5 linked regions of the Macaca fascicularis genome follow. The protein of the gene in region 2 interacts with the protein of the main gene of each other region in a pairwise test. Links are inferred from orthologs where the notes say so. Each region holds a gene or a part of one and is shown on either strand. Other genes may lie near its edges. The genes, in order: TNNT1, TPM3, SYCE1, KXD1 and LURAP1.

Region 1 (5,956 bases), on a different chromosome or scaffold from region 2:
CGAAGCAGCCGCGGTTACCTGGCTCTGCCACCGGCTCCGGCTCTTCGGGGGCTGGGGAGGGGCGGGAGGAGCAGCGAGGGTGTGGGGAGCGAGGGGGGAGCGGCCACGCCCGGGCGCGGCGGGGGAGAGAGGGAGAGACGGGAGAGGCTGTTAGAGGACCTGGAGCCGAGGCCGTCGGGAGCCCCGTCCCGCCCCCTCCTCCCGGGCCCAGCGTCCCCGCCCCCAGCCCCCCGCCCCCAGCTCCAGACCTGCGGAGTCCGGGACCTCACCTTCCTCCTCCTCCGCAGCCTCCTCTGGAGATGGGGGCACAGAAGAGAAAACGTTAGGAGCTCGGGCAGGGGTGCGGGGAGTGGCCAGAGACCAAGGTTCCAGCCTCTGCTGGACCGGGGGTCCCTCTGGCCTCGGCTGCGTTGGGCATGTGCCCCCTGGCGGTGCAGGGATGGCACGGGGAGACGCTCCAGACCCGGAGAGGGCGGGCGAGGGCCCGAGGGCTGAGCTGCCCCTTCCCCGCCAGGGTGACACAAGCCTCGCCTCCCGTCCCAAGAGTTCCTGGGGGTGTCTCCATCCCAAGGGGCCGGCCCACTCCCTACTCACCTTCCGGCTGCTCCCTGCGGACGGGTGTGGGGAAAGAGGGAGGGGAGAGTTAGACCTGGGGTGGGAGAGCCTCTCCACCATTGCACGCCCCAACCCCTCCCAGTGCGGCACTCACTCCTCATATTCCTGCTCCTCGGTGTCCGACATCCTGGTGCGGCCTAAGAAACAGAGAGAAGAGGCCCAGTGGGGTGGGGCCCCAAGGAGGGGGCGACCTAGACTCCTGGGTCTGAGGGAGGAGGGGCTGGGGGCTGGACTCCTGGGTCTGGACTCCTGGGTCTGAGGGAGGAGGGGCTGGGGGTCTGGACTCCTGGGTCTGGACTCCTGGGTCTGAGGGAGGAGGGGCTGGGGGCTGGACTCCTGGGTCAGAGAGGAGGAGCTGCAGCCTGGACTCCTGGGTCTGGACTCCTCGGTCTGAGGGAGGAGGAGCTGGGGGCCTGGACTCCTGGGTCTGGACTCCTGGGTCTGAGGGAGGAGGAGCTGGGGCCTGGACTCCTGGGTCTGGACTCCTGGGTCTGGACTCGTGGGTCTGAGGCAGGAGGAGCTGGGGCCTGGACACCTAGGTCTGAGGGAGGAGGGGATGGAGGCTTGGACTCTTGGATCTGAGGGAGGAGGGGCCAGGGGCCTGGACTCCTGGGTCTGAGGGAGGAGGGCTGGGGGCTGGACTCCTGGGTCTGAGGGAGGAGGGGCCAGGGGCCTGGACTCCTGGGTCTGAGGGAGGAGGGGCCGGGGGCCTGGACTCCTGGGTCTGAGGGAGGAGGGCTGGGGGCTGGACTCCTGGGTCTGAGGGAGGAGGGGCTGGGGGCCTGGACGCCTGGGTCTGAGGGAGGAGGGGCTGGGGGCTGGACTCCTGGGTCTGAGGGAGGAGGGGCTGGGGGCTGGACTCCTGGGTCAGAGAGGAGGAGCTGCAGCCTGGACTTCTGGGTCTGGACTCCTGGGTCTGAGGGAGGAGGAGCTGGGGGCTTGGATTCCTGGGTCTGGACTCCGGGGTCTGAGGGAGGAGGAGCTGGGGGCCTGGACTCCTGGGTCTGGACTCCTGGGTCTGAGGGAGGAGGGGCTGGGGGCTGGACTCCTGGGTCTGGACTCCTGGGTCTGAGGGAGGAGGGGCTGGGGGTCTGGACTCCTGGGTCTGAGGGAGGAGGGGCTGGGGGCTGGACTCCTGGGTCAGAGAGGAGGAGCTGCAGCCTGGACTCCTGGGTCTGGACTCCTGGGTCTGAGGGAGGAGGAGCTGGGGGCCTGGATTCCTGGGTCTGGACTCCGGGGTCTGAGGGAGGAGGAGCTGGGGGCCTGGATTCCTGAGTCTGGACTCCCGGGTCTGAGGGAGGAGGAGCTGGGGGCCTGGACTCCTGGTTCTGGACTCCTGGGTCTGAGGGAGGAGGAGCTGGGGCCTGGACTCCTGGGTCTGGACTCCTGGGTCTGGACTCGTGGGTCTGAGGCAGGAGGAGCTGGGGCCTGGACACCTGGGTCTGAGGGAGGAGGGGATGGAGGCTTGGACTCCTGGTTCTGAGGGAGGAGGGGCCAGGGGCTGGACACCTGGGCCTGAAGGAGGAAGGGCTGGGGGTCTGGACTCCTGAGTCTGAGGGAGGAGAGGCCAGGGGCTGGACTCCTGGGTCTGAGGGAGCAGGGGCTGGGGTCTGGAATCCTGGGTCTGAGGGAGGAGGAGCTGGGGCCTGGATTCCTGGATCTAAGGGAGGAGGGACTGGGAGTCTGGACTCCTGGGTCTGAGGGAGGAGGGACTGGGAGTCTGGACTCCTGGGTCTGAGGGAGGAGGGACTGGGAGTCTGGACTCCTGGGTCTGAGGGAGGAGGGGCTGGGAGTCTGGACTCCTGGGTCTGAGGGAGGAGGGACTGGGAGTCTGGACTCCTGGGTCTGAGGGAGGAGGGGCTGGGGGTCTCGACTCCTGGGTCTGAGGGAGGAGGGGCTGGGGGTCTCGACTCCTGGGTCTGAGGGAGGAGGGGCTGGGAGTCTGGACTCCTGGGTCTGAGGGAGGAGGGGCTGGGGACCTGGACTCCTGCGTCTGAGGGAGGAGGGCTCAGGTCTGGACTCCTGGGTCCGAGGGAGGGGGCTGGCTGTCCTAAAGCACGCATGAGGACAGACCTTGGTAGATGTGGTCCTGGCACAGCCAGGAGGCTGCAGACCCTGCCCCCTCCACACAGCTGTCCTCTTTTGTCTTATGACAAGTCCATGGGAACCTGATCCAGCTGGGATTAGGAGGAGGCATTTGAGAAGGGACAGTGGCCTGAAGACAATAGCTGCCCCACACCCAGGAGCTATTTCGGGGGGATGTCATAGATGGTGAGACAGAGGACATTTCCTAAGAAGGGATTTGAGGAAGGGGGGCTTCTGGGAGAATTAGTCACCCTCATCCCCTCTCCCACTCACCCCTCCCCGCTGGCTGGCTTCCTCCCCACCTGTCTCCCCTTTCACCTTCCCATACATCATGCAGGGGGCAGGAGCATAAAGGGCACCTTCTGTCCACAGACCTCACCCGGACCCCTATATTCTTGGACCTCAAAGTCTTTGAGATTCCCTAGGCCACGGGGTGCCTAGCCCCAAATCCCAATACCCACAGATTCTGAGACCCCAATCTGTGATGCCCATGTTTCTGAGACCAGCGAGTCCTCACAGCTGTTCTTGATAGTCCAGATATGGGCCGGGACATCTTAAGACCACCCCCAGGTCTTGGGACCTAAATTCTGAAACCTCAAGAATATGAGACCCCCAAAATCTTGATACCTAACCTCGGAGGCCCAATTCATGATACCCAGATAATGACAGTCCAAGTTCTCGTGCTTTCTATCATAATACCTCAGATTCCGAGGCCTCCACTCCTAAAACCCCAGATTGTGAGACCCACCCCCAATTCCTGATACCCTCAGAGTCTGAGGCCCCAAATCCTGACACCCAGACTGTTTGACCTCCAAGTCCAGATATCCCTGACTGCTGAGATTTCCCCCAGATTCCCAGAACCCCAAGATCCTAGGAGGTTTTGTTCTGGGACACCCAAGTCCTGGCAGCCCCGGGTTCGGATCTGTGTGACCCACAAATCCCAGTATTTTCCCCTCTATCCTGAGTCCCCCTGAAGTCTGAGCCTCTCAAGTTCCCAGACTTCCAGTTGTCTGCCCCACCTACCTCTGCACCATTTCTCCACACCCCACATCTTCCCCACCCACCTCCTGCCCCCTCCCGCAAGGACACAGTCTTTGGAGACCACAGGGCCCCACAGAGCCCCTTACCTAGGCTGTGTCTGAGATGCTGGGAAGCTCGTGGCTGAGCCTTGCTGAGGGCACTGAAGCTACCGGGAGTTTATAGCTGGCCCTGGGAGGCTTGGCCCCGCCCCGAAGGGAGAGGGAGGGGGAGAGAATTCCATTGCTCAAACACAAGTCTGGGAGCTCAGAGACAGCCCCGCTGCCCCTGGCTCCACACTCAGAGTCCAAAAGCCTCCGCGGGCCCCTCCCCAACCCCATGCTAACCCCATCTGCACGGCCCAGGAGCCCCGCTCCCGCCCCCACCCCACCCCCAGGTCTCATGGTGCTGCAGCTACCTCCCTTACAGCTCCCTGTGCTTTGACGTCCCCACGCCCGGCCCACAGTAGGTCCTTGGAGGACCTACTAATGACAAATGGGCTATAAGGAATGTTTTCTGTTTTCTTCTCTCCGTTCCCTCTTTCTACCATGGTCTCTTTCTGGACCCCCGTTTCTGTTGTGTCTGTGGCTCTCCATCTGTGTATCTCTGTGTGTCTGTCTCCACTTCTTAGTCTCCCCCTCTGTCTCTGTCCATCTTTCTGTCTCCCCCTCCCCACCCCCACCCTTTTGTCTGCCACCAGGATTCCATCCTGGTGACAACAGGCACTAAAGCCGGGAAGCAGGTGTGGGGAGAGGGAGGGAGAGGGGGTGTCAATTAGGGTGAAACCTCCCCTCCCTCCCCACCTTCATCTAACACTGATCTTTTTGGTGTCCCCCTCGCGCTTCCTAGCCAAGCCATGACCTTGAGTTCTGGGTTCAAGCCGGCCCTGGAGAGCAGGCCTCCTCCCCTCCCCGCCTCTCAGTACCTCTCAGTACCTCTCAGTACCTCTGCCTCTCGTGGTCCGTCTCTGTGTTTCTGTGCTTTTCCTGGGGCCTCTTGCTGGGGTCTGTCTTGGGCTCTCTCTGCATCTGTCTCTTTCTGGGTCCCTCAGTGTGTTTCTTGGCATGTGTCTCTAGGTGGTTTTGTCTCTGCATTTCTGTGGGTGTCTCTGCATGTCTGCCCCTCTCAGCGTTTGTGTCCGTGGAGGCTCACAGTTTCTCTGTGCATTTCTGTCCACCTGTGACCCCATTTCTGTCTCTTTTTGGCTCTGGGTCTCTGTGTCCATGTTCACGTCTCTGTCTTTCTAGTTCTCTCCATGTCTTAGTGCCCGCAGTTCCCGCTCTGTGGCTCTCCATTTCCCTCTCTTATAGGGTCTCCACGTCTCCGCACCTTGCTGTGATTATACCTCTGTCTCTCTTTTCTCCTTTCTTTGCACTTCCTTCTATGCATCCATGGTATTTTCTCCCTCTCTCTTTGGGTCTTTGTCTGGCTCCTTCTCTCTCTACTCCCAACTCAGTCCCTCTGTTGCCAGTATGTCTCTCTGCCTATCTGTTTCTCTGTGTGTCTCTCTCTTTGAGCTTTAATCTTGGCATCTCTGTGCACTCCACATGGGCCAGAGGTGCTGTGACAATAGAGATCAGAAGACTGATGGAATGAACTGTTTGTGGCAATAAGATACCAAATTATAAACAAGACCTGAGGCCATGCCAGGCAAGGGTTAAGTCACGCATCCCTACACTTATATAATAAACTATGTTCTAATTGCCACAAGGCTTTTCCTTTTTCTAGCAGCTAAACAAACACTGGCCTCAAGATATGCAATATTACAACAATTGCAGCCATCCATTGCCAGATGCTGACTAACTGAACCCCCTGTTCCACAACGCATAGCTACAGCATTAGTTGAATGAGAGACTGATTTCAGTAACTTTCTCCTGATAAGATACCACGGACCACAGACTGGTTCTGACTTTTGACAGAGGCTGTGCACTGGGTGCCTTCATATGCCTGCTTCATGTTTCCATACGAATGCATTCAATGGGATGCACTTAAATATTAAGCCTCCACCACCATGTAAAATGCATATTTGTCGTCAGTCACAATGGCTCACGCCTGTAATCCCAGCACTTTAGGAGGCCGAGGCTGGTGAATCACGAGGTCAGGAGTTCGAGACCAGCCTGGTCAACATGGTGAAACCCCGTCTCTACTAAAAATACAAAAATTAGCTGGGCCTGGTGGTGCATGCCTGTAATCCCAGCTACTGGAGAGGTTGAGGCAGGAGAATGGCTTGAACCCAGGA
Region 2 (5,165 bases):
GCTGGCAGAGTCGTAAGTATCTAGCTCCCCAAATCTTGTCATACCAATTTGTCCCTTCCCCTTTGGCTTGGGCACTAATATGAATAAATTAGCATTCCTTCAACCTTGTTAAACAGGGCCTAGGAAATGGGAGTCATCTATAGTGCTTTTTTAGGCCCAAGAATGGTTGTAGACTTCCTTATTCTCCTGACTAGTGACAAGTGACAAAAGAGGCTTTCTTATTTTTTGTTGGTAGGTTTTACAAATTGAGAGCAAATAAGGACTAATACATGGTGAACAGTTAACTGGAAGATCCTACTGGGTCCTTCCACCTGGGGTGGAAGACATCAAAGTGGCTATCCTGATTTAAGATCTGGTGTCTGGCTGGGTGTGGTGGCTCACACCTGTAGTCCCAGCTACTTAGGATGCCAAGGCAGGAGGATTGCTTGAACCCAGGAGTTGGAGGCCAGCCTGGGCATCACAGGGAGACCCTGTCCCTAAAACAAACAAAATTAAAAAAAAATAAATCTGGTGTCTGTTTTTGCCACTTTGCCAATCTGCTGGGGAACTTTAGGGCAAGGGTAGATACTAACTGCTCCCCTGTTGGTACCTTCTCGGCCTTGATTAACAAAGTCAGTGCTGATGCATATATATTTGTGCTTCCCTCTTACATTCCCGTCTGCCAGACATAACATATCATGACCATGGTGGTGTTCTCTTCCCATTTTTTGAATTTTTTTTTTTCGTTTTGCTGCTTGTTTTCTTGCTGTGTTCCTTTTTGACCGTTCTCCCTCCCCACAACCTGGCTTGTGCCATCCCCGTGACTATCACTAACAGCCGTTGCCGAGAGATGGATGAGCAGATTAGACTGATGGACCAGAACCTGAAGTGTCTGAGTGCTGCTGAAGAAAAGGTACTAACCATTAAACCCACAGCAAGGTTATATATATGGTGTGGTTTTGTTTTGTTTTGTTTTTGTTTTGCAGCTGCCTCCCCTCCACTTGATTTTGTTGAGTGCTGTCTCATCTCTTCATGGAATGCTCCATTCTTTTCCACTTACTTGGCATCTTTCATCTCTTCTTTCCTAGTTGCTTTACTGCCTCTCCGCAGGGTCTCCTTCCTTTGGGTGATTTGGGGGACTGTTTGGGTTGGGCATTTGTTCCCACCTCCACCCCAGGTAGCAGTTATGACTCATTCCTGGTAGTGGATTTCTCTCAAGTGCTTTATTAGTATTCAAACATTTTGAGCCCAGGAAGGTCTAGCTCCTGACACGTTCTATGGTAGAGGGAGGAGGGTTGATGCTTGCTCAGGTTACTTGGGAACATCTCTTCCCCAGTATGCCTTCCAACTCTCTCTACATATAGGTTCAATTCACGTCTGTGTGTCTCTCTCCCTTTTTTTATTCTCTTCCTTTTCCCTTTTCCTCTCCTGTGGTATTTAAAATATTCACAGTAAGTGTTCTGAGCTGGAGGAGGAGCTGAAGAATGTCACCAACAACCTCAAGTCTCTTGAGGCTCAGGCGGAGAAGGTAGGGGCTGGTTTGTGAAAGTGACAGGCTTTGGGGCCTGGGCCCAGCCCTGCCCTTGATGAAAGACTGGAGACACCCATTCCATATATAATTCAGTGAGGCGTGTCCTTTTCCTACCTCCTTACCATGTATTCAGGTTCTGGGTTTAATGCTACTTTCTGTGCACTTTGATTGCTTTAATTAAAATAACTTCATGGTCTCAGGTTACTGGAGTCATGTGCTCCTCAGGCTGATACTGCTGTGCTGAAAAGCAATAATCAGGGGCCCTAACAGGCTTTCTGGCAGACAGATGGGGGCAACAGACAGAATCAGCTCTGAGACCTAATGAGCAATCAAGACAGATGACTTCACTTTGCCATCATGTGGGTGTGTTTTAGTCATGTGACCTTGGGGTGCCACTACTCTTGCTCATTAAGCAGGGGAAAGGAAAAACACCTCCTTGGGTTGATCTGAATAATATCAAAGCTTAGATCCATCTTAAAAAGTCATGGAGAATTTTAACCTGAGGATCTCATGGCTCTAAAGACAGATTTCTGGATTTCAAGGACCTGTTTTCCAGAGCCAGGCCTTGCTCTTACTCTTGGACCATTCAGCACATTTAGTCCAAGAGGATATTCAATGTAAGAGTTAAGTGTAGGGAGGTGGGTATTGCTTGTGTGATTGATTTCTACTCTGAAATTTTTAATCTACTTATCTTACAGTACTCTCAAAAAGAAGACAAATATGAGGAAGAGATCAAGATTCTTACTGATAAACTCAAGGAGGTGAGCTGAGGGGATTATAGGGCAGGACCCAAAACATTTAGAGGTATATAAGACATTAATGTGGACTTAGACTGGCTGGTTTGGGTTCTGAAAGGTCCAGAAGTAGAAGGTGGAAGAAATAGAGATTGTTCTTCTTTGTCTTCATCTCTGATTCTGACTAATTTCATATTTCCCCCAGGCAGAGACCCGTGCTGAGTTTGCTGAGAGATCGGTAGCCAAGCTGGAAAAGACAATTGATGACTTGGAAGGTATGGAACCTTGAGTAGGGATTGAAATAGAGAAATGTAGAGGAAGACCTTGCCCATTAACTATTAATCTCTTCTTCTGTATACCAAAGGAAGTTGGTATGACTTGGCATGTATTAATACGTGCACTGTCCTATGCCACAGCTAGGCAAAGTGGGTCAAACCCTAGAATTGGTTTTTCAAATGTAATCTTTTCCTTTAAGAAGACTTCACCAAATAGTCTGCAATTTGTACCCTTCCCTTTGAGGAGAATGATAATGGCTGCATTAATCTCCAATTTAGTAGTCTTAAACCTTTAGTCTGTGGGTTTAAACGGAAGCCATGATTTCAGAAGGGCAAGGTGCAGGTCATTTCATGGCTACTTTCCACAGTTCTTTTCACCACTCAAGTTGTGGGGTATTTATCCAAGAAATGAAGTTGTGGAGTAACCACATCTGAACACTGACCACTGTCAGGAGCTTTCTAAATACTTTCTGTCCCTGTAAGTTGGTAACTGCCATCCACGCTGACAAGGGGACGTACTCTTTGCTTTGAGAACTCTGATGTATGCTCCTTTGGTATGCTCTCTTGGCAGAGTTGCAGGGGCAACCTGTGAAGCAGAGGGGCCGCTAATAGGGCTCACATTTTATAGGTAGAGAAGTGTCTGAATATGGATGTATGCTATCTCCCTTTGTTATTTTTGTTCAATTAAGTGTTTCCACTGCTAGGAATTGGGTACCTGAATGGGAGTGGTATCCTCTTGAGTGCTTTTGGTAATAGGAATTTCTAGTTATGACTGTGCCCAGGTTCTCAGCCCTTGCTGCAGTCGATTAGGAGTATCAAGAAAGGCAGTTGGTCATGGGAGAGAGTAGATCTGAAAATGTCCAGTCATGGTTGCCAGAGTAGATGTTTTCCTAACTGTGGTATTAGACCCACAGTCACACTTTCCTAATTTCTAATGATTCCCTCTCTTCATCTGCTTCTGAAACCTTTCACTCTGTCCCCTCATTCCTCCCTGTGGTTCCTGTGCCTGTCCAGATGAGCTCTATGCCCAGAAACTGAAGTACAAAGCCATTAGCGAGGAACTGGACCACGCCCTCAATGACATGACCTCTATGTAACTATCTGACAGCAGAGTGGGGCTGGGATCTTGGCTTGTGGGTGGATGGGGGCACAAGCTATGCATAGTGGTGTGCTTTGGTTTTATCCTTTGGAAACTATAATCTCCACCCTTATCTTTGAAACATTGGTGCTGGTTATTTGTTTGGCAAAAGCTCTGGAGGCATGGCCGGGGGTGGTGGCTCACGCCTGTAATCCCAGCACTTCGGGAGGCTCAGGCGGGTGGATCACTTAAGGTCAGGAGTTGGAGACCATCCTGGCCAATATGGTGAAAACCCGTCTCTACTAAAAATATAAAAATTAGCCAGGCGTGGTGCAGTGCGCCTGTAATCCCAGCTACTCAGGAGGCTGAGCCAGGAGAATTGCTTGAACCTGGGAGGCAGAGGTTGTAGTGAGCCAAGATCGTGCCACTGCACTCCAGCCTGGGCAACAGAATGAGACCCCATCTCAAAAAACAAAAACAAAAACAAAAACAAAAAAAACATTAAAGGCCGGGCATAGTGGCTCACACCTGTAATCCCAACACTTTGGGAGGCCGAGGTGGGCGGATGACTTGAGGCCAGGAGTTCAAGACCAGCCTGACCAACATGGCGAAACCCTGTCTCTACTAAAAAATATTTAAAAAGTTAGCCGGCATGGTGGCGCACGTCTATAATCCCAGCTACTCGGGAGGCTAAGGCAGGAGACTCGCTTGAAACCAGGAGATGGAGATTGCAGTGAGCCGAGATGATGCCACTGCAGTCCAGTCTGGGTTAAAGAGTGAGACTGTCTAAGAAAAAAAAGCTCTGGAGGCAATTAATCTTGGATCAGAAGGAGAACCCTGACTGACTTGTAATTTTTATGTTTTGTATTCATAGTTTTTTCATTATGCTGTGATTTTTCTATTTGCTTCTCAAATTTAGTCTTCTCAGAAGGAATACTGCTAGAGGTAGAATCCATACAACTAAGGAAATAGGGCCCACAGAGCCAGGGACTTGGGCCCTGACACATTAAAATAAAATTCAGGCCTCCTGGGTGTGTTTAATTGGTTCCCCGATATTAAAGTTCAGGGAACTACCCAAGATGGGAAATACCAAATTCACCTAAAAATTGAGCTGGGTCCCAGAAGCAAGCCAAGTGATAAACAGCACCAAAACGAGTTGTTGGGACTTCATCTGTTTGCTGTGGATCCCTGATCCTTGATGCTAATCTGCCTCTTTGTATCTTTCCCACTAACCCTGAAAAGAAGCCACATTTCTCAGGCTGAAGTGTCTGGCTGTCTTTTATTATTCCTGCTGCCACCTATTCCTTTTTTTCCTCTTCCTTTCTCCCAATTTGCTATCTAGATTGATGCTAGTCCTTCTCACCTAGAGTATCCTTACTTTTTCATGCAGATAATTATCACCGTTTCTGCTCTGTTCTGGATCTGCCCCCTTTACTCCTCGGGGAACCCAACGCCCCACTCTCGCTCTGGATTCCATTTGGGTCAGCCTGGCTGGTCCCCAAGGCATTAGGATGGGGGGACACAAAGCAACTTATGTATTTTCTTCCACCCCCACCCCAGATTAAAAT
Region 3 (5,810 bases), on a different chromosome or scaffold from region 2:
CCCACCCCTTCCAGGATGTTAGGGTACCCTCAGTCAAAAAGGCAGCGGCCTGTGGCTCCTGTACCAACGGCCCAGCCACGCTCCAGAGCTGCCCAAAGGGAGGTGCCAAGACCAGGAACACAAGCCACCCCGGCTCCCCCACCTGCCCTGGGGCTGTGGTGACCCATGGGCAGGGAGGCGACCTCAGGCTGGTTCTGCCCCGAGATCCTGAGGAATCTGACCCTCCCCAAAAGAAGCAATGAAATGGACCAAAGGACTTAAGGATTTGCAGGGAAGTGAGGGGAAAACGATAGGTGCCCAGAAGAGTACACCTCACGGCCCAGAAACACTCTCAAGCAAGAAAACCAATTCTCCAGGAACCCTAACCAAAACCCTAAGTGCAACCCCTACCACTAACCCCTGACCCTAATGCTGACCCTTAATCCTAACCCCTCACCCTAACACCTAATGTCAAACATGAACCCTTAATCCTAACACTAACCCCTAAACCTAAACCCTAACCCTAACCGATACTCCAATCCCAAGGAAAAGCACTAAACCCCTAATCCGAAACCTTAAGCCTAAACCCTAAACCTAACCCACAAACCTGAGCCCAGGCCCCAACACTAACGTTAACCTCTAAGCCCCAACCCTAACCCAACCCCAACACAAACCCCTAACCCCTAATTCTAACCCTACCGGGCATGGACTTTGGGCGCTGGACCCACGCGCAGCCCCCGCTTCTGTCTCGTACTGGGCGGCGCCCTCAGCACCCTGGGGCTGCTACGGCCCTAGGCCTGGCTGGGCTCAGGGGCGACATCTGGCCCCCAGCCCGCCCCGCCTAACCTGACCCCTTACCCTTAAATCCAACCCTAACCCATGACCCAACACCTGAACCCTAACCCTAACCTCAACCCATAACCTCAACCCCTACCCCTAACCCTAAACTCTAGCTGCAGCCCGAGCCCGAATCCTAATGCTACCATAAACCTAACCCCCGAACCCAAACTTGAACCCAACCCCTACCCCTAAAACCCTAAGCTAAACTGAAACCACAAACCCTAACCCCTAACCCTACTGCTACCCCTAACCCCTAACCCCTGAAGCTAAACCTAACCATAACAACGCTAAACTTAAGCACTAACCTAGCCCTACCCCTACACTAAGCCTTAACCCAACTGTAACTCCTAACACTAACCCTAACCTTTAAACCTAACCCCTTACCCTAAACCGTAACCCCTAACCCTAACCCCAAAACCAACACCTAACCCTAACACCTACTCTAAAACACTAACCTCTAACCCTAACAATCCTTAGCCTAACACCCAAACCCTAACCCCTAACCCTGACCCTAATCTTCTATCCTCGAAACCCTAACCCCAAACCCTAACCCTAACATCCTAACCCCAACCCTAAAACCCTGATCCTAACCATTAAACCCTGACCCTAACGATTAAACCCTGACCCTAAATGCTACCCCTACCCCAACCCTCGACCAACCCTAACCCTACCCCTAATCCTTCCCCATCCCTAACGCTAACCCCAAACCCTAACCCCACCCCAACCCTAAAACGAACTTCTAACCCCTAAACCCTAACCCAAACCCTAACTCTACCCCAACTCTAACCTTTATCCCTAACTCTAACCTGTAGCCCTAACCCAAAACCCTAAGGTAACCTTTTATAGGTTGGGATTCGAGGCTTTGTATTTAGGACGGGCGGGTGTTCTGGTGTCTCCCACTCACCCGCACGGGAAGTTCTTCTGTTGGTTCTTCACAACCAGTCACGGTGCATCGCAGCCTCCCCTGGCCGGTGAAGGGCTGGTTCTCCCGAAAGCCTCGGCTCCTCCTCCCTCCTCCCAGTGCCCTCCAGGCCTCCCCGGTGGCCCCAGCGTGGCAGGGCCCGTGCAGAAGGGACCGTGGGCTTGTGGCCGGCATGGGCCGCTGTGGGCATGGAGCTCACGGGAACGCGGCCTAGGGGCAGGCTGCGCTCCTCTGCGCCAGCGGGAACAGCGGGCCCCGCGGGGGCTGCCACAGACGCGTCACTTGCTGGGGTCCGTGCACTCCCGCGGTGGCGTGGCCAAGCAGAGCCGCGACCCCGTGAGGTTGCCGGGGCCATGGCGCCTCGTGGAGTCGTCCGTGAGACACGCACATTTCACAGGCAGTTGCTGCGTGGCACACGCGCACTGGTCGCTCGTGGTGAGGGCCTCCAGAACCAGGGCCGGCCCCCCTCGGAGGCCAGCACACATGCGCGGGAGCACCCAGAACCGGGCCAATCGCGAGCCTGGACGGCCGGACGTGGCCCTCGCGGGCTTTGTAACCCTCGGGCCTTTACGCATGCGCACTAGCTGCCAGGCAGGCCGGCCGAACATTACTTCACATATCCAGAGCGCGCGCGGGGGTGCATTGCGCAGGCGCGCTGCCTGGAGTCCCGCCCCCTGCAGGGGTTGCTCCAATCACCACTGGAGGCTTCCTCCCAAGCCACCCGCGCTGCTGAGCTGAGAGGAAATGGCGGGGAGGTCCCTGGCGTCGAAGGCCGAGCCCACCGCCGGAGCCATGGACGGGGCTGAGAAGGCCGAAGGTAGTGGAGGGAGGCAGGGAACTGTGCGTGAGGGTCTGACCTCGCCGAGGCGGGGCAGGGTTGGGGCGCGGGTGGCGACTACTTCCTGTCAGTCCTGATGGTGCTGACTGAGACTTAGCGGGTTTCTTCAGAAAACTTTCCGCCAAGATGAGGGAGTGCTGGCCCGCACACCCCTCACTTCGTCTTAAAGCATTGAACCTTTATCGTGGTTGCTCCAATTTTGGTTTAGGTAATTAGTCAAAAGACATCCTGTCGTTCCACAGACTTTTCATACACACCTCTTAAAACAAAAAGGACATTTTCCTGACGCTCCCAATCCCAAGGGAATTCCTAATTCCACACTCCTCTTTCTAGAACCAGCAAGTGTCCAGATTTCCCGGTCGCACTAACCTGGTTCTTGACAGTGGGTTCCCCCACCCAGCATCCCGACGCCCCGGGGAGCCGGGGGAGGCCGACTCCCCGCAGATCTCCCGTTTGTTTCTCCCCGACCCCGACCTGCCGTAGAGGCTCCTACCTCACCCTGGGAAGGGAGGGACAAGGCAGCTGGTCAGAGTTGTACAGAAGTCCCGAAATTGCAGCCCAACAAAGAGAAAGAACACTGTCCTGGCCGTTTCCACTTCAGGACGCTGTGTACCTCTGGGTGTTTTGGGAGAATTTTCAAACTTACACAAAAGTGGAGAGAATTGTACGGTGACGTCCCTCCTGCTGTCACTCAACTTGTCACTCTGTCCTGAGCTCATGTGTCCCCCCTGAGTTAAAACGCTGCAATTAACAAACGCCACGGTGGCTGCCTCCAGCCCTACCTGCGTGAATATCATGGCAGGTGCTCTGTCGTGTTCTTACAAAATGAAGGTTTGAATACTGAAACAAGCTTGGCACAGAAAGCATCCCTACAGTGAGATGTGGCACAGTGAAAGCCCCAGTGAAGGACAAAGCAAGTAAACAGGACAGACGCAAACGTATCCCTTTCATTAAGCACCTACTGGCCCGCCACTGTGGTAGCCTTTCAGTATCACAGCTCCATGTTCCTCACATAACCTAGTATATTTAGATAAGGTTTAACCAACGTTGCTTGTGCCTTCGTTCAAACTGCTACAACAGAAATGCCATTATTTCTCACAGTTTTCGAGGCTAGAAGTTCAAGATCAAGGTGCAATGCAGCGTCTGGTGGGGGCCTGCTTCCTGGTTGTAGACTTCTGTCTTCTCATTTTGTCCTCATATGGGGGAAGTTGCTGCCGGCCTCTCTGGTTTTATAAGGGCACTAATCCCATTGCTGAGGGCCCTACTCTCATGACCTAATCACCTCCCAAAGGCCCCACCTCCTAATGCAGTCACACTAAGGGATTAGGATTTCAACATACGAATTATGGATGGGGGCACAAACATTCAGTCTATAGTGACCAGCTACAGAAGAAAGTTAAAGGACAAGATTCCAGTTTTAGTCGGGATGTTATCTAGGATCAGTGACACTAGATACATTTTAGTAAAAGGTCTGTTAGTCTCCATCTAACTGGCTGCAGTTATTACTATAAAGGGGAATGACTGGGGAAAACGAATGTTTGTGTTTCAATTTTTTCTTCATGCTTTTTCACACATGCCAATTACTTGAATAATGTAAAACTTAATTCATAAATTTATGAGCAGTGATTTGTGTAAGATTTCGGGTGGGACCAAAATGAGGGGACTCCATAAACTCAAAAATAAGCATTTCACAAAACTCTATGCTTGATTTTTTTTTTTTTTTTTTTTTTTTTTTTTTTTTTTTGAGACAAGATTGTGCTCTGTTGCTCAGGCGGGAGTGCAGTGTTACAATCACTGCTCACTGCAGCCTTGACTTCCTGGCCTCAAGCAATTCTCCCACCTTAGCCTCTTAAGTAGCTGCAATCACAGGTGCATGTCACCACTCCCAGATAATATTTTTAAATTTGTTATTTGTAGAAATGGGGTTTTGCTGCATTGCTCAGGCTGCTCTTGAACTCCTATGCTCAAGCAGTCCTCCTGCCTCAGCCTCCCAAAAGTGCTGGGATTATGGATGTGAACTACTGAGCCTGGCCTTATGCATGTATCCATGATTTTTAATGGCTGTAAATGATTTATCCTGTGTATGTGCTATAATTTATTTAACAAATTCCCTAAGACATATTTAGGCTTCTTCCAGTTTTTTACTATTATAAACAATATAGTGATGAACACCTTGCGCATTATCCATATCAGAATTACTTAGGACATAGTCTTAGAAAAGAAGATGCACCCAAACTTTTGATATTTACTATCAGAGAGTTTGTAAGGAGACACCTTGATTTTGCATATCTGGTTGACAAAGATGAACACATTTGGAAACACAGGTGGTTGGTAAAAATGAAAAACTGGGCATCTTGTATACATCAGTGGAGGGTAATTTGGTAATGTCGATCAAAATTGTGACAAACTTTGGTCAGGTGCCTCTGAGCCTTCTCAACCATGCCTCGGCCTTGGCCTGTGATATGGTTTGAATCTGTGTCCTCACCCAAATCTCATGTTGAATTGTAATCCCCAGTGTTGAAGGTGGGGCCTGGTGGGAGGTGGTCGGATCACAGGAGACCAGTTTTATTTAGATAGTGACCACCTATCTTTTAACTGGATCTCTGAGCTCTGGGAAGAGGCCACACTGAATCATGGGTGTCCAAAAAGGGAGAATTATTATGAGGCTAGACCACATGGATGCTTTAACAGTGCACTTAAGAAACATTTTTTTTAAAAAATTTCTAAGTGTCTAAAATATACTCTTCCTTAAAAACGCAAGAGTAGCTTCTGTTGCAATAATTAGTAAAAAGAAAAAAAATATATATATATATATCAGGTAACACAGTACAAAAGCAAGCAGTTTAAGAGCTGAGATGAATTTGTCTGTTTACACTCTTGGGAATGCATAAGGAAAAGCAGTTTTCTCCGCAAATGGGAGTCTGATGCCTTCTCCATTTTCTTTAAGGAACCTCATGCTATTATAAACTGTTTTAGGTCCCTCATGCAGCAGAGGGTGCAAGAGAAAGGAGAGACAGCAGAACTAAATGAAGAAAATAGCCTTCAGTCAACTGAGAAGAAAAAAAAAATTTTGCTCAAAAAACACAAGGACCTAGGAGAGAGAAAAAAGAAAAATCATGAAAGCCTTTTAAACACACACACACACAGAGACACACACATATCTTGGATGTTAGCTTTTAATTAAGCTGACTTTTAAGCTTTTGAGTTTCTTTCAAATTTTTTTTCTAAATC
Region 4 (5,610 bases), on a different chromosome or scaffold from region 2:
GAATTTGGAGGTATTGGGCAAACTAAGAGAGGTTGTATTTGTAAACTGTACCCAAGCACATTAGAATCCCATCACCTCCCACTTCCATGAGCCCAAGGCCACAGGCACCTCTCATCTGCACAGATCTGCCAGCTTCCTCCCTCATCCCCCATCACACACCTGCTGTCCTCACAAGCTGAACGTGTGTGGCTGCCTCAGCAAATCATCACCACCTCCAATGTCTCCTCTCCCAAGAGGTCAGGGACCGCTATTCCGGTCACTCGTACTGCTTCTCTTACTACTTGACCTTGCTTTTTTATTTCTTTTTGATACGGAGTTCCACTCCTGTTGCCCAGGCTGGAGCGCAATGGCGCGATCTCAGCTCACCGCAACCTCCGCCTCCTGGGTTCAAGCGATTCGCCTGCCTCACCCTCCCGAGTAGCTGGGATTACAGGTGCCTGCCATGACACCTGGCTAATTTTTGTAGTTTTTAGTAGGGACGAGATTTCACCATGTTGGCCAGGCTGGTCTTGAACTCCTGACTTCAGGCGATACACCCGCCTCAGCCTCCCTGACTGCTGGGATTACAGGCATGAGCCACCGCACCCAGCCTACTTTACCTTGTTTTTGTTTGTTCATTAAGAGACAGGATCTCGCTATGCTGCCTAGGCAGCTCTTAAATTCCTAGGCTGACACAACCCTCTTGCCTTGGTCTCCCAAAGTGCTAGGATTACAGGCATGAGCCACCGCATCCAGCCACACTTTACCTTGATTTAATTGCTTCACTGGTTCACATCTTCATGAAATTATCCTAGTCATCAGCTAACCCATTTGCCTGTCACCCCCACAACAATGTCAGCTCCAAAAAAGCAGAGGTGGCCGGGTACGGTGGCTCTCGCCTGTAATTCTAGCACTCTGGGAGGCCGAGGCAGGTGGATCACGTGAGGTCAGGAGTTCAAGACCAGCCTGGCCAACATAGTGAAACCCCGTCTCTACTGAAAATATAAAAATTAGCCAGGCATGGTGGCAGGCACCTGTACTCCCAGCTACTCGGGAGCCTGAGGCAGGGGAATCGCTTGAACCCGGAATGCAGAGGTTGTGGTGAGCCAAAATTGCGCCACTTCACTCCAGCCTGGGCAACAGATTCTGTCTCAAAAAAAAAAAAAAGGAAGAGGCGTGTCTGTCACCAGAGCCTGACCCGGAACCTGGTTCATAGCAAGGGACTGCCAGAATGTCACAATGTTGTTGTGGGGAAGGGCAACAGAACTTTTCAAACTCAGCTCTGACATGATGCTTTTTTAAATTTAATTTTTTTTTTTTTGGAGACAGAGTCTCGCTCTGTCGCCCAGGCTGGAGTGCAGTGGTGCGATCTCGGCTCACTGCAAGCTCTGCCTCCCGGGTTCACGCCATTCTCCTGCCTCAGCCTCCCGAGTAGCTGGGACTACAGGTGCCCGCCACCACGCCTGGCTAATTTTTTGTATTTTTAGTAGAGACAGGGTTTCACCATGTTAGCCAGGATGGTCTGGATCTGCTGACCTCGTGATCCGCCTGCCTCGGCCTCCCAAAGTGCTGAGATTACATGACATGACACTTTTATTAGCAAACTAAAGCCAAGAATTGCAGGCACTCACAGCCAATCCGTGGGCCCCAGTAACCCAGATGGTTCTGAGGTTCCCAGTTTTACTGGCACACGGATGACTGTAATGGCAGGCAGGGACTTCCAGAAGCAACCAGGGGAGGAGGGGCTACTGCACTAACCCTCCTAGGGAGTTCAGGAAAAATCTAGGATCTTGATATAGTTTGCCTCTGAGGCCCACACATTTAATAGCCAAGAAACAGAGAAACCTACTTCTACTGGATCAGAAAAGGTTTCAGAGGCCGGGCGTGGTGGCTCACGTCTGTAATCCCAGCACTTTCGGAGGCCGAGGTGGGCAGACTACTTGAGGTCAGGAGTTCAAGACCAGCCTGGACAACATGGTGAAACCTCCATCTCTACTAAAAATACAAAAATTATCCAGGCATGATGGCGGGCACCTGTAGTCCCAGCTACTCAGGAGGCTGAGGCAGAATTGCTTGAACCCAGGTGGCAGAGGTTGCAATGAGCCAAGATCAAGCCACTGCATTCTAGTGTGGGCGACAGAGGGAGACTCCATCTCAACTTAAAAAAAAAGAAGCCGGGCGCGGTGGCTCAAGCCTGTAATCCCAGCACTTTGGGAGGCTGAGACGGGCGGATCACAAGGTCAGGAGATCGAGACCATCCTTGCTAACATGGTGAAACCCCGTCTCTATTAAAAAATACAAAAAACTAGCCAGGCGAGGTGGCGGGCGCCTGTAGTCCCAGCTACTCGGGAGGCTGAGGCAGGAGAATGGCGTGAACCCGAAAGGCGGAGCTTGCAGTGAGCCGAGATCCGGCCACTGCACTCCAGCCTGGGCGACATAGCGAGGCTCCGTCTCAAAATAAATAAATAACTAAATAAAATAAAATAGAAAGAAAGACACCTGGAGAGGGAGGTCCATAGCTAGTGCCAGAGAGGCACAGTATTGGGACCTTCTAGGATACACTCCTGCTTCAAAACAGGACTCTTTTCTGTCTCTGGCTCCCAGATGTGAGGGCTGGGGGGTTCCTGGCACTTCCCTCCCGTCCCCCAGCAACTTCCTCTCACAAGAAGCCTTCTCTGATTACTGCTAGTCTGCTCCACATACACAGTGAAATTGACCCAGCAAAAGCTCTGATCCCAACTCCAAATATAGATTTATTGAAGAAACGCAGAGAGGTAGGCTGTTTGACCATGGGAGAGCCACTTCACCCTTCTGAATCAGTTTTTTTCAACCATAAAACGGGAATAAGGTAGAATGACGATCTCACAGTGCTGTCTGTGGCAACTGAAACCAAAGGTGATAATGAGGGGAGTTCAGGACAGGCTGTTTCTCCAAGAGGAGTGTGAAGAAGTCCCGGGACAGGGTCCGGGAATCAGCATTTTGACAGCATCCCAGGGGTCTCTAAGAACATATTACGGGCAAACACTTGTAGAGCACTTCAGTTAATCCTCAATCACTGTTACGAGGCAAACACAATCATCTCCGAGTGAAACTGAGGCTCACAGGGGCGGGCTCAGTTGCCAAAACTCACATGGAGAGACAGAGAAGCACCACGGTTCTATATCCAGGTTATTTAACAGAATTTAACTCAGCCATCCAAGCTCTGAAAAACCCCAAGTGGGGAGGGGCTCAAATACCCCCCTCACGCCCCGTCCCCTACAATACGGGGAAACTGAGGCACAGACCGGGCAACGCCCAGCTCCAGGTTACACGACACACCCAGAACACAGGCGGGCCCAATTTCTATGCCCCTGATCCGGATCCAGATCCAGCCCGCGGCGCCGCCTGCGTATCCATTGAGCAGACGGGGAAACTGATGCCTGTGCGCAGCAGGAATGACCAGATGTGGCCAGCGGCGCACCCCATCCCACCGCAGCCCGGGGGCCGCGCCCGACCCGGACCGGTTCCCCGAGGCCCTGGAGTCCCCAGCCCCACCCCAAACTCGGCCCCGGCGTCGGTAGCGGCGGCACCTGCACATCTGGCGGCCTTGCTCGCGCTTCCGGGATGGCGCCCGCGCCGGCGCAACGTCACCACGCACCGATCGTGCGAGCGCGCGTGGCGGCGGCGTACCCTGGAGCCGCTTGCGTGCGTGGAGTCACGACAGGAAAAGGCGGGGCTTAGGCGGGGCTTAGACGGAGCTGCAGCTCGCGGGCGCGTCACAATGAATAGCCAATCAAACAGTTCGTCTCGCGCCTGCGTATTTCCAGAAGCCCAGACTTCAAAGCAGCCCGAAAGAAGGAAGGCTGAGAAGTGTCCCATTTTTATAGATGGTGTGACTGACTGGCGTCCCAGAGCGGTAACCCTCCCCAAGGTCGTAAATGCTTCAGTGGTCAGCGACCAAACCACACTCAGGTGTCCTGCTTTCCAGGCAGGGAATCAGACTCATCTGTGTTCAGACAAACCTGCTCCACTTTTGCTGATTTTAGTCTTAAATTTCCTTTTTTTCCCCAGGCAGAGTTAAGCTCTTGTTGCCGAGGCTGGAGTACAATGGCGCGATCTTGGCCCACCGCAACCTCCGCTTCCCAGGTTCAAGCGATTCGCCTACCTCAGCCTTCCCGAGCAGCTGGAATTACAGGCATGCGCTACCATGCCCGGCTAATTTTGTGTTTTTAGTAGAGACAGGGTTTCTCCATGTTGGTCAGGCTAGTCCTGAACTCCCGACTTCAGGTGATACGCCCGCCTCGGCCTCCCAAAGTGCTGGAATTACAGGCGTGAGCCACCGCGCCCAATCCTGGTTTCCATTTACACTTCCACGTTGTTTTGGAGGAATGCGCTGGGGAATTTTTTAAAAAGGGTTTACAGGCTGGGCGCAGTGGCTCACATCCCGTAATTGTAACCCGAGCAGTTTGGGAGGCCGAGGCGGGCGGATCACGAGATCAGGAGTTCGAGATCAACCTGACCAATATGGTGAAACCTCGTCTGTACTAAAAATAAAATAAAAAAAAAGTCGGGCGTGGTGGCGAGAGCCTGTAATCCCAGCTACTCAGGAGGCTGAGACAGGAGAATCGCTTGAACCCGGGAGGCAGAGGTTGCAGTGAGCCAAGATCGCACCACTGCACTCCAGCTTGGGCGATAGAGCAAGACCATGTCTCAAAAAAAAGAAGGACAAACTAAAAAATGAAGAAAATGGGCCGGGCGCGGTGGCTCACACCTGTAATGCCAACACTTTGGGAGGCCGAGGTGGGCAGATCATGAGGTCAGGAGATGGAGACCATCCTGGCTAACACGGTGAAACCCCGTCTCCACTAAAAATACAAAAAAATTAGGCGGGCGTGGTGGCCGGCGCCTGTAGTCCCAGCTACTCTGGAGGCTGAGGCAGGAGAATGGCGTGAACCCAGGAGGCGGAGGTGGCAGTGAGCCGAGATGGTGCCACTGCACTCCAGCCTGGGCAACAGTGAGACTTTGTCTCAAAAAAAAAAAAAAAAAAAGGAAGAAAATGTATGATGAATTTTAAGTTCATACTGATTTGTGTATACGAGTACCAGATTTCTGTAATAAAATGCCTCACAGCTACAACTGGGGGAAAAAAAAAAAATTGGGCCAGTGGCCCGAGCCTGTGGTCCCAGCTACTCAAGAGGCTGAGGTGGGAGGATCTTTTGAGGCCAGGAGGCAGAAGTTGCAGTGAGCCAAGACCCCACTCCAGCCTGGGCAACAGAGTGAGACCCAGTCTCAAAAAACAAACAGGCTGGGCGCAGTGGCTCACACCTGTAACCCCAGCACTTTGGGAGGCCGAGGCGGGTGGATCACCTGAGGTCAGGCGTTTGAGACCAGACAGGCCAACATGGTGAAACCCTGTCTCTACTAAAAATAGAAAAAAAATTTAGCCTGGCGTGGTGGCAGGTGCCTGTAATCATAGCTACTCAGGAGGCTGAGGCAGGAGAATCACTTGAACCCGGAGGGCGGAGGTTGCAGTGAGCCGAGATCGTGCCATTGCACTCCAGCCTGGGTGACAAAGTGAGACATTAGTGCCACCATGGGCAGCTAATTTTTTGTGTTTTTAGTAGAGACGGGGTTACACTGTTGGCCAGGCTG
Region 5 (5,614 bases), about 81 Mb from region 2:
TACTGTGTTGCTGGGAAATGAATCTGAGAGCAGATTCTATAATCCTGTGACAGTGGGATTCCCTGACTGTGACAGCATCACTCCCAGAATAGAAGAAAGCAAGGCTTTCTTGCCAGAAAAAGAAACACTCTTTTCACACGATCTCTTGAAGAAAATAGAGTATAGGATAAACAGCTCAGGAGAGAGGCAGCCTCAGAGGCAACTCCAAACCCAATTCTCTTTCCAAGGAGATTCAGGCTCCCTACTCCTCTCCTTAACATCTACATATCAGACTCTGCCCAGCGCTGGGGTTCTGTATGGTTTCCTCATTGCTCAATCCAAATCAGGCCCTGGGGTAAAAGCCTGGAAATCCTAGTTGGAGCTCCTAGAGCAGGGACTATCAGAATATTGTTACTACAAAGGTTCTTACGATCATCTGGTTCCACAGTCCCCATCTCCCTCTACTCCCTCCACCAAGAGGAAGAAAAACTGAGGCCAGGAGAGAGAAAGAGTACTGCTCAAGACCACAAAACGTTTCAGAAGCAGAGCCAAGACTTGAACCCGTGCCTTCTTCCTCGCCTAAAGCTTCTTCTCAGACTGCCTCTGTGGAGGTGGGTTGTCATAGCAACAGTTCTTTGGGTGGGAGAACTAAGAAGAGGTTGCCACTGTTTCCCATTCCCACATATCCCAGTCTGGCTTGTTCACTCAACCTTTGAATGGTGGGTAGAGGAAGAAAGCAGGAGGGATGAGGCCTAGAGGCGGACTGACCTTGGCCTCAAGGGTAGGCCTCCCCACTTTGTGCAAGGAAAGCTGGGAGAGGAACAATTGAAGGACAGTCCTTAGAGGGCTTGAACCAGTCCTGCCTTCATTAGCCCCAAGGGAAACCCCTTGCCCCACTGCTTGTCCTTCCTGGGTGCAACCCAGTAGGCAGGGCAGAGCACAGGAAGAGATTAATATTAATAACATCCTGTCCTGAGGAGGGAGAAAAATAGGATGGGGATCTCTCCTCGTTCTGGCCCCAGAAGGCTCCCTCCCTTGTGCCCTTTCTCGGGCAGCCTCAGGCCCCAGGCAAGCAGGGTCAAGAATACAGAGAGACAAAATCAAAAGTTAAATGCAGCCCCTTAAAGTTTACAGATCGTTTCCACCAAGGCAGAAAAGAGAGCCAGAGAGACTAGGCGTGGCTCTTCCACTGACTCCCTATGTGAGTTCAGAATCTGCAAGCATGTTTTATCTGTAAGATGGGAGAAATGATGACCAGTTTTCTCATTTCAATGACATAAAATGTGTTTAGACTATCTGGCACAAAGCAGGTCTCAAAGGTAAACATGCAAAGTGCAGTCAGATGATCTGGGTTCAAATCATGGCCATGCTTTTTGTGTGATCTTGGGCAGTTATTAAACTCCCTGTGCCTCTGTTTTCTTTTCTCTTTTCTTTTATCCTCCCTCCCTCCCTTCCTCCCTTCTTCCCTTCCTTCCCTCCTTCCCTCTCTTTTTTTGAGACAGGGTCTAGCTCTGAGCTCTGTCACCCAGTCTGGAGTGCAGTGGTGCGATTTCAGCTCACTGCAACCTCCTCTTCCTGGGCTCAAGTGATCCCCCTGCCTCTGCCTCCAGAGTAGCTGGGACTACAGGCATGCACCACAACACCCATCTAATTTTTGCAGAGACAGAGTCTTGCTTTGTTGCCCAGGCTGGTCTCAAACTCCTGGGCTCAAGTGATCTGCCTGCCTCAGCCTCCCAAAGTGCTGGGATTACAGGCGTGAGCCACCATGCCCACCCTGTGCCTCAGTTTCTTCATCTATAAAATATCACTTACTTAACATGGTTACTGTGGAGATGAAGAGAGTATCAAGTAAAGTGCTCAGCAAGCTGCCTGGCACATGTGCTGGGTGAAAGTTAGTTTTCAAAGCAACTAGACAGTCTAGGTAGGCTCTTACTAGGCCTTGAGCTAAAGTTTGTACAGCGAGACAAAGGCAAACCCCTGCTTAGGTGGGGACAGTCACAGCCTTGCTCTGGAGAATTTGGCACTCACCTCCAACCTTCAAGGCCAAGTGCACACTTGGCATTCAAGTCCTTCTCCCAGAGGGCCTTTCCTGGCTGCTCCACCCACCAGACTCTCTTCCCAGTCTCTCAGCTCAGGCATTAGAGCCCTGGCTGGTCTAAGAGCCCCCATGACTTCCTTCCCCTGCTCCTTCACAGACCAGCTTGGCACAGGCTGCGCACACAGTGGGGGTCCAGAAAGACTTATTAGCTGACATATTCACTGTGGGCTCCTGGTTGTAAGCCAGGAAGCTGATAGCAATTCCTCAGTTCCCCAGAACTGGCTGCAAAGTAGTGGCAGGTGTAAATCACCCACTTCACCGGAATCAGGGCCCTGAGGAACATGCCAGGGCCTTGGCTGCCCTTTTGGCTCTGAATCTAGACCAGCAGCAACAGAGAAACGGGAAGGTTGCTGTTTCCTCTTCTCCCCAAGAATGTGCAGATGAGATCCAAATATCCAGTTTACCTGGGAGATTGGATGGGAGGAGACTGAGTCTGAGGTGAGGGAATCAGCACCAATGGTGCTGTTACTCTCTGTTCCTGCTATGGGTCTAGGAACTTTCCATTATTTTAAGTAGGGCTGGGGGATGTAGAGGAAATGGAGAAGGTTTTCAGTGCCCCTGGTCCAGACAGTTTACAGCAGATAGGCCCCTTTACCCACATCTTTTCTGTGCTGAACACTGCGGGCCTCACAGGAACTAAACCCTTTCCCGGTTAGCAGAAGGAGAAAAAACCGGTTGCCTTACAACGGGGACTGGGGGGGAATAGGTGGCCCATACGGGCGGGGGGAATTTGTGCTGCGTTGGGTTCTCAGTACTTCCCAGTACTCATCTCTCTCCTCCCAATTATTTGGCAGGAATAACTTCCAAAACCCACGGCTCCCACCCCAATTCCTCAGGACCTATCAACACCCCCACTCACTCTTGGGGGACAATTAATGGATGTCACTCCATCTCCACCCCAGCGTTTACGGATTGATCTGGGAGGGATTCTGAGCAGTTAGGTGGAGAGTTTTAACTACCTCCTCTCCAGCTTAACTCTGAGAGCATGAGTTCGTCCCTCCTGGCCCTAAACTGGGGACTCGTCCCCTTGGCCCATGGAGTCTGCACTCACCAGCTCCATCTTCAGCGCCATGATCTTGTCCCCCAAGTCGTGGCCGGTGCTAGGCGTCCCTGGGAGCAGCAGGGCGCCAGAGGTTCCTAGGTCACACTCGCCTCGCAGCCCACGGAGCAGCCCTTCAGGGGTCTTCCTGCCCACCTTACCCTCCACATCCCGCAGGTCAGGCGTCTGGGACTCCACGGTTCCCTCCATGCGGGCCCAAGCCTGAAAAGGGCTGGGCAACCGGACGCCAGGGACCGGCTCGCGGGGGTCCTCCCTTCGCCGCTGCTAAAGCGGAGCAAAACCGGTGGGTCCCCGCCCGAGAGCCGCGCGGGCGGCAGGAGGGTGCCGTAACACTCAGAAAAGCCGCGCAGCACTGTCCGTGGGTATATTCGAGTGCTGCGCACACAACCTCCGGCCCTGGATTGCGTGGGGCTGGGCGGTTCTGGAGTTGGACCTGAAAGAGCACTCGGAGACCTCAGCGCCTTCGCCCCACCCTGGCACTGAATCCAGCCAGGCACACAGCAGGCGCCCAATACATGTTTGCAGAATGAAGTCTAAGCAGCTTCAGTCAGAGATGTGGGAGTTTAAGGAACAGTGGTAACAGAGAGCTGCAGAAGGCTTGGAAGTCTTCCTGGAGCAGAGGAATTGGGTCTAAAACGATGGCTGGATTTTAGTCAGACACACACACAACACCCCAGGGGCTAGAATTCAGACTAATGGAGTAGAAAGGGGCAACCAGTATTGAAGCTGAAGAGGTCCACATTGAGCTTACAAGCAAGATCCTCCTCCTTAAACTTGACTGTGCATATGAATTATCTGCGGATCGTATTAAAATGCAGTTCTGATTTTGTAAATCGGGGTGGGGCCTGAGATCCTGCCTTTTTTTTTTTTTTTTTTTTTTTGAGACAGAGTCTTGCTCTGTTGCCCAGGATGGAGTGCAGTGGCACGATCTCGGCTCACTGCAAACCACTGCCTTCCCCGGTTCCAGCGATTCTCCTGCCTCTGCCTCCTGAGTAGCTGGGATTACAGGCATGCACCGCCACGCCCAGCTAATATTTTTGTATTTTTAGTAGAGACGGGGTTTCACCATGTTGGCCAGGCTGGTCTTGAACTCCAGATCTCAAGTGATCTGCCTGTCTCGGCTTCCCAAAGTACTGGGATTACAGGTGTGAGCCACTGGGCCCCGCCAAGATCCTGCATTTCTAATAAGCTCCCAGGTCATGGCCATGCTGCTGGTCCACGCTTCAAGTAATAAGGGACCACACTTTGATAACAAGGTTACAGAAGATGGTTCTGAGATGTTTGGGTTTTATTTAACAGGTAATGAACAGTCATGAAAACTTTGGTTTGTGTAGGCTTGTAATTCAAGTAATTCCAGCCCGTGGTTGCAGAAGGATTTACAATGAGAAGATAGTTACCCCTGCCCTACCCTTTCACACCTCTAGGCCCACTCCCAATTGGCAAAAAGTAACTTTTAGTTTTTGGGGGGTTTTTTGTTTTTTGTTTTTTTTGGTGTTCATACCCGTAATGTTATTGTTTAGAGTTAACTAAAAGTGATTGCCAACTGGGAGTGGGCCTAGAGGTGTGAAAGGGTAGGGTAGGAGTAAATATTTTCTTATTGTAAATCCTACCACTCCTTTTTTTTTTTTTTCTTTCTTAGAGACAGAGTCTTCCTGTGTTGCCCAGGCTGGACTCAACTCCTGGGCTCAAGCAATCCTCCTGCCTGCCAAGCAACTGTGACTACAGGAGTATGCCACCATGCCCAGCCACACTGCTTCTCAATTTTAAACATTCAACTGCTGTTTATTATCATATTCAGATAAATATGGATATATGGGTTTAACTCACACTCTGTAGTTCGTTTCCCCTACTGGCACTATTTATTTCTCTCTTTTTTTTTTTTTTTTGTCACCCAGGCTGGGGTGCAGTGGCACAATCTTGACTCACTGCAATCTCCCCTCCCGGGTTCAAGCGATTCTCCTGCTTCAGCCTCCTGAGTAGCAGGGATTACAGGCACGTGCCACCACGCCCAACTAATTTTTGTATTTTTAGCAGAGATGGGGGGGGGTTTCACCATGTTGGTCAGGCTGGTCTTGAACTCTTGACCTCGTGATCTGCCTGCCTCGGCTTCCCAAAGTGCTGGGATTACAAGCGTGAGCCACTGCGCCTGGCCTGGCACTACATATTTCTATCACTCTTTTTAGTTCATCTAATGGTTACCTTTGTAATTAATTTTTTTAAAATTATGTAGATAGAGTCTCGCTATGTTGCCAGCCTGGTCTTCAACTCCTGGCCTCAAGCAATTCTCCCACCTCAGCCTCCCAAAGTGCTGGGATTACAGGCATGAGCTACCATGCCTGGCCTACCTTTATAATTTTAAGTAACATCATTTTCCTTGGTACTTTTTGATCCATGGAAAGGTTTTAAGTTAGAGATAGAAAAAACCTTTGTCTTTTTTTTTTTTTCTTTTGAGACAGAGTCCGGCTCTGTCGCCCAGG

Evidence for each region.
Region 1: the proteins of TPM3 (region 2) and TNNT1 interact in binary tests that used the Homo sapiens proteins (3 or more experiments, as listed by UniProt). The two-hybrid records come from large-scale screens. The link is inferred for Macaca fascicularis from reciprocal best matches to the Homo sapiens genes TPM3 and TNNT1.
Region 3: the proteins of TPM3 (region 2) and SYCE1 interact in binary tests that used the Homo sapiens proteins (3 or more experiments, as listed by UniProt). The two-hybrid records come from large-scale screens. The link is inferred for Macaca fascicularis from reciprocal best matches to the Homo sapiens genes TPM3 and SYCE1.
Region 4: the proteins of TPM3 (region 2) and KXD1 interact in binary tests that used the Homo sapiens proteins (3 or more experiments, as listed by UniProt). The two-hybrid records come from large-scale screens. The link is inferred for Macaca fascicularis from reciprocal best matches to the Homo sapiens genes TPM3 and KXD1.
Region 5: the proteins of TPM3 (region 2) and LURAP1 interact in binary tests that used the Homo sapiens proteins (3 or more experiments, as listed by UniProt). The two-hybrid records come from large-scale screens. The link is inferred for Macaca fascicularis from reciprocal best matches to the Homo sapiens genes TPM3 and LURAP1.

Annotation. Positions count from the first base shown.
Region 1 is NC_088393.1:63,018,278-63,024,233, forward strand, and holds the start of TNNT1 (troponin T, slow skeletal muscle), read right to left. Parts: upstream 3,874-5,956; 5' UTR 3,828-3,873; intron 2,739-3,827; exon of another isoform or gene 2,689-2,738; intron 753-2,688; 5' UTR 742-752; coding exon 710-741; intron 609-709; coding exon 595-608; intron 294-594; coding exon 270-293; intron 52-269; coding exon 19-51; intron 1-18. UniProt on the Homo sapiens protein: Troponin T is the tropomyosin-binding subunit of troponin, the thin filament regulatory complex which confers calcium-sensitivity to striated muscle actomyosin ATPase activity.
Region 2 is NC_088375.1:106,992,584-106,997,748, forward strand, and holds part of TPM3 (tropomyosin alpha-3 chain), read left to right. Parts: coding exon 1-12; intron 13-816; coding exon 817-892; exon of another isoform or gene 893-1,431; coding exon of another isoform or gene 1,432-1,507; intron 1,508-2,208; coding exon 2,209-2,271; intron 2,272-2,449; coding exon 2,450-2,519; intron 2,520-3,533; coding exon 3,534-3,612; intron 3,613-4,987; coding exon of another isoform or gene 4,988-4,991; exon of another isoform or gene 4,992-5,165. UniProt on the Homo sapiens protein: Binds to actin filaments in muscle and non-muscle cells. Plays a central role, in association with the troponin complex, in the calcium dependent regulation of vertebrate striated muscle contraction.
Region 3 is NC_088383.1:142,661,710-142,667,519, reverse strand, and holds the start of SYCE1 (synaptonemal complex central element protein 1), read left to right. Parts: upstream 1-2,460; 5' UTR 2,461-2,485; coding exon 2,486-2,558; intron 2,559-5,810. UniProt on the Homo sapiens protein: Major component of the transverse central element of synaptonemal complexes (SCS), formed between homologous chromosomes during meiotic prophase. Requires SYCP1 in order to be incorporated into the central element.
Region 4 is NC_088393.1:18,950,759-18,956,368, reverse strand, and holds the start of KXD1 (kxDL motif-containing protein 1), read right to left. Parts: upstream 3,594-5,610; 5' UTR 3,110-3,593; intron 1-3,109.
Region 5 is NC_088375.1:188,481,918-188,487,531, forward strand, and holds the start of LURAP1 (leucine rich adaptor protein 1), read right to left. Parts: upstream 3,420-5,614; 5' UTR 3,327-3,419; coding exon 3,129-3,326; intron 1-3,128. UniProt on the Homo sapiens protein: Acts as an activator of the canonical NF-kappa-B pathway and drive the production of pro-inflammatory cytokines. Promotes the antigen (Ag)-presenting and priming function of dendritic cells via the canonical NF-kappa-B pathway.